Linked DNA regions of Oreochromis niloticus. The protein of the gene in region 2 interacts with the protein of the main gene of each other region in a pairwise test. Links are inferred from orthologs where the notes say so. Each region holds a gene or a part of one and is shown on either strand. Other genes may lie near its edges.

Region 1 (3,919 bases), on a different chromosome or scaffold from region 2:
TATATCAACTCATTATCCGTATGGGCCAGGAACATCCTTGCTTACCAATTGGTATATCAAATAAGATGGTATTTACCTTAAAAATCCTTGGGAAATATTCATGCTCTCTCTATAAATGGCACAGACACAATTCAAAACTTACCACAGACTACACTTCTCTCCAACCAGATTACATAAATTATTCAAAAGCACTTCACCGCTGTGTGTGAAATGTCCAATTGAGCAACGAAATCCATCTCATCAGTTTGTGCAGTCTAACAGATTACAGATTTTTTGGGGGTCACATATTTGAGTTACTTATCAAGGCTTTTAACAGAGTGCTTCCTTTTGCCCCTCTTACAGCATTGTTTGGGGTGGTTGACTCGAATAGTGTGAAGTGTCGTTATGAAGCTCAGGCTTTATAGACAATGTTAGCAAGAAAAATTGTGCTACAATCTTAAAAGTCTGAGATACATCCAACTTTCCAGTTTGGGTGGCTGAAGGAATTAGAAAATGTGCTACACCCATGTCAAACAAAGCAGGTCTCCTTTAGAAAGTCTGGCTACCGGTCATCAGCTTGATTGAAAAATTGAATCTTTATCGTTTTTATAAATTATCATACTGCACTATGAACCCCTGCAACACAAAGTAACAATGTTAATTTAGTCTGTTAGTAAGCTTCCGGTATTATTCTTTTTAATATTTTTAAGAATTTGAAAACTTATAAACAGATATTTTAAATAATTATATTTGTTTATTAAATGGGCAGAGATAACAGGGAAAAAACATAAAATTCTGTTAAGTCAGGCAAGACAAACGCTTACCCATCAAAGGCCCATTCTGAACCAGCTGCCTACAAGCTTGAAAATGCAATGCATGAAGGTAACTGGACTTCTTTAGGTTTGTGAGGACAAAAGGGTTATTGACCCACTATTGATCATGTGAGTCAACATGACGCTCAGAATCACCTCCAAAGGGGACAGTCCCCCACTAGGGGTTAATTACCCAGGACTCTCCACCAGTTGTTTTAGAACTGAAGAAGCTTCTTGGATGAAAGCCGAAACCTCTTCACAAACCTAAAGAAGTCCAGATGCCTTCTTTTTCAAACCCTCAAGACTATCATGGTCTGGTTGACTGAGGCCCTACACAGACAGTGCTTGCCAAAAAATAAAATAAAATGGTAGAGTGATGAAGAGCTGTACTGGCTGGACTTAAAAAAAAAAAAAGGCAGCTATTTGTGTGTGTGTACAAGACAAGGAATAAACACTAAAAACATGACAAATCAAAACTTATATCAAAGCCAAATTCAATTTTACAATCAGTGCATCAGGTGTGGAGACACTGATCCTTCAAAACACCTTGACGCAAATACATAAATCCTTCTTAGCCACTCGGACAACATGGCTCTGGAGATGTGCATTTGTCATTACACAACATCCAGCAAGCACAAAAACAAAACAAAACAAAACAATGGATCAAGAGATGTTAATACAACTATTGACAAAACTCTCCAAGAATACAAAACCAATTTAACACACTTTGGCACAGAGCCTTTTCAAACACCCTGTGGTCAACTCTTACAAGCTGCTTGCAAGTGTTAATAGATGTGCTTCATTTTTTTGGCAGGTTTCTGCATACAGACCAGCTTTAAAATGTGCAATGCATTTCTGGCTGCATGCACAGTGTACCTGCAGTGGATCCGACAGTGTACACACACACACACAGCGGTCATGACAGGCAGACTATTTTAAGCGGCGGACCCCTTCATCCTCTTACCTTTGAGCTGCGGCAGCGGGGAGAGCTCGACCGGAGCGGTGTGAGTGCGATACTGAGAGGAGCCCTGGGATTTTCTCTGCTTCTGTGCCTTCCTCATGGACTTCCTCGTAAACCCATCCACTTTCTCTGATGCGGAGATGGCCGACATTTTGATGCATAAAATTAAAAAAAAAAAAAAAAACTACCTTGACACTTTTTTGCACTGTATCTCCTAGGTCATACGAAAAGCTTCCTTCCCCTTTTCACATCAGAAGGCTTGTGTTATTTTTGTATGATCCAACATGGTCGGTCGGTACGGAGGTTAAGCTGTGCCCAAAGACTGCATCATTATCTTGCTCTATGAAATACAGAGGAGGGGGGACAGTCTTCAAAATACGAAAAAAGCCGAATTTAGTCACACGACACCGCCCGCACTACACAGCACGGAGCGACCAACACGACAAGAATAAGCTCCTAAATTTCTGACATTTTTTACTGCTGCATTGTGATCGAAAAACGTCTACCTGTTGCAAAACATAAGAGATGCATTGCCGGATTGAAGCTGTCTACAGTAGACCTAAGCTGACAGTTAGCTAGCCTGCTAAAAATTAGCTGACGGTTACAACAATTTGCACCGCTGCTGAGGGGGGAAAAAGTTACGAAAGAAAGTTGCCCCGTTAATTTTTTGCAGCTCTTCGTTAAAACACAAATTCCGCGTCTCCGAGCACTGGTTTAATCCTAGACAGAATTCTGCTGAGTGTGTTTTTGAGAGAAAAAAACTATCCGCGATCGATGAAGTTAAATTTCGCTCGTCGACTCATTTAGCGCTTGAAAGTTAGCCTCATCCACCTAAGAGAAATTTCACCCTTCGTCACACTTCCGAGTGAATCGCGTGAGACTGTTTCGCTAGCACGACCTCGATAAAGACCGAGTATTGTCAAAAACAGCAAATTACTGGATGTCGAGCTGAGGCAGGCAGCCGTAAACACTCCCAGTGCAGCCGCTCCGTCACTGTGTGTCTGTGAGCTTGACTGCGGAGCGCTGACAGGGGTACGTCACTGATTGACGCTGCTAACAGCCAATCAGAGGCGAAAATTTCAAAAAACTGGAACTTTTTAAACCAATCAAGCCGCGCAGAAAGCGGGACTTGAACATGTGACATGTGAAAACAAATAGGTGATGCTGTACAGGCAGTGGTGTTGAACAAAAACTGAGACACGTCTCGTAGCAATACATTGAAAATAATAATAAGATAATATAATAAGAGTTCAATTTGTCACCGCGTGTTTCTTTGCGCTTTTTAAAGAATTATCCCACTTATAGTTTCAGTTTTTAAGCCACAGATTGTTTTAGGATTAAAAAAAAGAGATCCTGAGATATTGCATTTGGAAAAACTCCGATAACAAATAACTGAAGAAGTCACTTGGATGAGTGACGAAACGTTTCTCCCACCGAAAACTTATTAAAAGATTTAAGTGTATATTTGAGCCTGTATGTACACTCATAACCCCAGAGAGAAAATCCAAAATAAATTCAAACTTGTGCACCCTGTTCTTGTTTTTTAAAGTCATTAAAGACGTATGCTGTCCAGTCATTCCACCCTGGAAAACTGTATTATTTAGGAATTCACACCACTCTTTGGCCCTGCCTGTATCACGCCCTAACCCGATGCATTCCTCATTACATGCTGTGTGTGTTTATAAAATACAGGTATAAACCCTAAAATAAGGGCCTTTCCACAGGAAATTAGGTTTCTATTTTAGTACATTTACTTTGTCTGTAATAGAGACAAGAAAGTTTTATTTTTATCACTACACTTACATCAAAAGTAACATAGAAGAAATCTAGAAGAATGTATTCTAAATATCCTAAATTATTAAAAAGAGTGCCATAGATCTAAGTCCTGAAACCTTTGGCCTAATTCTAAATATGGATTGTATAAAGATGTTAATAATTAACATCCTCAATGTTAATTATTGTCATTTATCTTTTTCTTTTTTTTTTTAAATCTATTTATATTAATCTTGTAGTAGATTTTACCATTTTCTTCCCCCCTATGGATACAACCTTATTCCTCTTCAAATTCCAAATTTACAAATGTAAATCTATTAACTTGAAAATGTATTTGCTATTATAATGGAAATGGAACAGTAAGTGTTAACAAGTTTTTCATTAGAAAAAAAAA
Region 2 (3,919 bases):
GCCATGCTAAAAGCTTTGCTTTTTTCCCTTGAAACCCTGTTGTGAAATGCACAAAGCCACACATGTGAATAGGTTTCAGGAACAATGACAGACTTGGGCCTGAGGAGAGGAAAAAAGAGGGTGGGGGTGGATGTCCGCTGCCACACATATATTAAATTCAAACAGCTCCAATGGCCCTCAAAGAGAAAGCGTTTAGCCTGTCAACGGTACCTTGTGGCTGCTGATGATTCGTGGGGCGAGCAGCGACTGCTGGGTGCGAATAACCTTCTTTCGCTGCTTGAGCTCTGCAGTCAGCGCTTTCACCTTCTCCTCCTGCTTCTTCTGCTGAACCAGCAGCTGCTCATGCTCCCTGCCGGTGGCCGACAGTCTCTCCTCCGCCACACGCAGATTGAGGGAGAGAAAGTCCTGGCAGTGGAGGAGCCACTCCACCGTGAGCTGAGCAAGGCGCAAGAGCTTCAGCAGAGCTGGGTCCACGGGGGTCTGGCACCGCTGGCATCGCTCCCCCTCCAAGCTACAGAAGGTCACCATGCTGATGTGCTCCTGAAGGGCATCCACGTCCAGCTGGCTCACTACTAAGTCTACATCCACTGCATTGATCCGCCGCCAGTCCACGCTTTCTCTGCGTGGGCGGAACTTGAAAGGGAGAAAGGTGGAGGTGGTGCTGGACGGAGTCATGCCTGGTGCGGATGATGCTGTGTGGCCGTTTACAATGTTCTGGCTGAGAGGAGAATTCAGAAGAGAGGGGATCCCGGCTGATGAGTGGTTCCCCTGGGTGTCACTGGTGTAAGGGTAGTAGACTCCCTCGTGAAATGGCTGAAAAAGAGAGGAGAGAAAGGGATGGAGTCACATTAGCATCAAATACAATCACTAGGAGAGAGAAAGAAAGACAGAGAGACATCAAGAAGCATCTGCTTCAGCGGGTAACGGCAGAGCACAGATTCCACCACTTCCTGCTCTGCCTCCTTCTACCTATGTTGCTGCTGCTGTCCTCACACAGCCAATCGCCCTTACCATCTTCGACTGGTTTTGCCTTTACTCGGAGAAACAGATCGAAGAGCCGTCACTCCTCTCCGGTTCCGCCCCCGTTGCTAAAGCAGCACAAAGCGACAAGCAAGATTAGGCGTCCGCCCCGTTACCTTGGAGACAGCGGCGAGCGTCCCTGGGGAGAAACGTTATCAAAACAGCGACCAACAAAACGTGTCCACACAGTTCACAGTGCGCTGTAACCTGCAGTACATATCAGCTTATACTGTACAACAAAGTCTCCTCATTCACCTCCGTCTAAACGGTGTGAAACAGAATAAAAGGAGAGCTAACGTACCTGCGGAGGAGCACGAGGGAGGTTCAGGAAAACGTTTTCCATGCTAACAGCAAATACCGTTAATCTGCCGTCACGTCTCTAAACAGTCATTTCAACTTCGGGCAGGCTTTTGTTTTATTCCCCTGCTTGACCTCAAGTCAAACAACAGCAGACATGCTTGAGCTTGTCCTTCTTAAGACTTCAAGTTACGTTTTAGAAAAAAAAAAGAAAGACCACAATAGCTTCTCCGAAAAGTCAAGCCGCTAGCTAAAGAAAAGAACAACTCTTTGAAATCCCTTCATGCCTGCCTGTCTGGGTAACGGACATTTTTCTTAAGTCAATATTAAACCTTATTACACATCACTAACAACTGTGAATGTTTAATCTTGAGTTTGACATTGGACTACCACATGAAAAATAACTTACCTGGAAGATTGTGATGTTAATTCGTGGCCTTTAAAAAAGTTTATTTTCGACGAGATCCTAGGGGATTTGAGGGTAACGTAGCTGCTGGTTTCCACATTCCTAAATGCCTGCTCTGAAAAGACAACGGTCAAGACAGACGTAATAAATACGACACTTCCGGCGCTTGCCTTTAAAATAAAACGCCAATGCAGCAGACAAAGTTTAAGCTAAATTTAAATCTTTTTATTTCATTTTACAGAAACGCAGTAGTACAATGTTCCCAAACATTAGCCATATGCTATATGTTTAACCTCAGATTTTTTCCTGACTGAGCCTTCATTTTCTTTTATTTTTATGATTTACATTTTTAATTTATAGCGATATTCAATTCAGGTTCATGTCTTATTTTACGGCGGAAACTCCAGTTCACTGATCCGAGTAGAAACACATCTGTCACTCTGAAAAGTCTATTTCGAGCTTTGACACCAAAGCTTTCCAAGAATTACTACGAACCTGTACTTTGGCGAAGTAAACATCATTTCCGGTGTGATCCGCCGTGAGTTTGACGCATCTCGCAGTAAGAAGTGGGGGAAGGGAGCAGCTGTTCAATTTGGGGCTGAATAGGGGTGTAGAATCGTCCCACTTCAGCAGAAGGAAATAACTTTAAACACATTTAAAAACATAAAAAGAGAGCACATTAGAAGAAATTGTGAGGCACCAGCACATCTACACGCAAACGCACCATGTATAGATGCATGTGAAGATTTTGAAAACTTTCCGATCCTCTAACCTACAGCATGCCAGGCTTGCTCCACCTTGTGGTTGATTCCTTTTGCCTTTTTTGTTTGCTTCTTTATTGAATTATTTCGTCCTTTCTTTTCAGTTCCATAGAAGAAGAAGGAACAAAAAATAAAAACACACGTTCAAGCGGATTTGAACTTCTCGTGATCGTTGTTATTTTAGCTAGACTTCGTAGATGCGTTAATGTTGTTATTTTTCCATGTGAGGTATTTACAGCTGACAGGTTATAAAGCAACATATACCACGGTCCCTGGGTCTTTGACTCAAAGTCTTTTGGTTTTGTGAGTTAATGATTTGTCTTTGATTTTAAGGGATTTATGTTCTAAACATTTATAGACTTGTGTTATTGGTTTGATACCCCCCCACCTCCTCCTTTCATGTTTAGTCCTTTGCCCAGCGTTTGTTATGTATAGTTTTGTTAGTTCCCAGTCATCATCTGTCTGGTCTTTCTGTGCCAAATCTCCTCAGTCAATCATGTCTTCATGTTTGTTGACCTTTTTGTCTGTGCCAAGTTTAAACGTCTCTGTGTTAGTCTGCATGTTATGTTGTGTGTGTGTGTTATGTTCAGTTTAACCTTCTCTGACTCGTTATCCCTGGTTTGTTTCTACTGTTTCCCACGTGTTTTATTTTACCCTCATTGTCTGCAGTGTATTTATTGTCTGAGTCATCCAAAAATGTGTTCCTTGTGGCTCTGTGTTCCTTCCTTGGTTAGTTCCTGCCTCCTTCTTTACCCGTGTTTTTGTGTTATAAGGTTATAAGTATACAGTATCCCCTACGTTCTAAAAATAACCAGCGATAGGTGAAATCCGCGAAGTAGCCAGCTTCATTTTTTACAATTATTATAGATGTTTTAAGGCTGTAAAACCCCTCACTACACTTTTTATACACTTTTCTCAGACAGGCTTGAACATTTTCACACTTTTCTCTCTTGTTTAAACACTCTCAAAATTCAAACCTTCGTAGAAAAATAAGTCCAGTATTATAGAATGAAACCAAAGATCAAACCCTGTTTTCAGGTCCAGAACACGGGAATAGAGCAGCTGGCAGAGAATTCAATATTGATGAATCAATGGTACGGAAGTAGAGGAAGCAAGAAGAATGATTTGAGTAAAGTTTGACTTATCTGACTGTTTTGTTTTGCTTAATGCGCCTTATAATGCGGCGTGCCTTATGGTTCGAAAAATACTGTAACTTCTACCTTCCTTTAGCATGTCCAGAAATCCAACTTTTTGTGCGATGGTTAGCATCTTCCTCTGCCTTTTGGGTGCTACCGCAGGTGCCTTTGACGCTGCAAAACGTTTCGTCGACATTGTTGTGTTTGTTGGGGAGAAAACTTACAAACAGTACAGCACTTCAGAGTCACACTGCTAGCTATTGAAGATTTATTTAAAATTTGACAAGGTGGACGCATTC

Evidence for each region.
Region 1: the proteins of dzip1 (region 2) and ppp2r5a interact in binary tests that used the Homo sapiens proteins (3 or more experiments, as listed by UniProt). The link is inferred for Oreochromis niloticus from reciprocal best matches to the Homo sapiens genes DZIP1 and PPP2R5A.

What each region holds. Positions count from the first base shown.
Region 1 is NC_031980.2:13,647,095-13,651,013, reverse strand, and holds the start of ppp2r5a (serine/threonine-protein phosphatase 2A 56 kDa regulatory subunit alpha isoform), read right to left. Parts: upstream 2,806-3,919; 5' UTR 2,690-2,805; intron 2,093-2,689; 5' UTR 1,904-2,092; coding exon 1,756-1,903; intron 1-1,755. UniProt on the Homo sapiens protein: The B regulatory subunit might modulate substrate selectivity and catalytic activity, and might also direct the localization of the catalytic enzyme to a particular subcellular compartment.
Region 2 is NC_031986.2:5,484,384-5,488,302, reverse strand, and holds the start of dzip1 (cilium assembly protein DZIP1), read right to left. Parts: upstream 2,334-3,919; 5' UTR 2,219-2,333; intron 1,839-2,218; 5' UTR 1,727-1,838; intron 1,160-1,726; 5' UTR 1,015-1,159; coding exon 1,012-1,014; exon of another isoform or gene 970-1,011; intron 814-969; coding exon 211-813; intron 1-210. UniProt on the Homo sapiens protein: Molecular adapter that recruits protein complexes required for cilium assembly and function to the cilium basal body.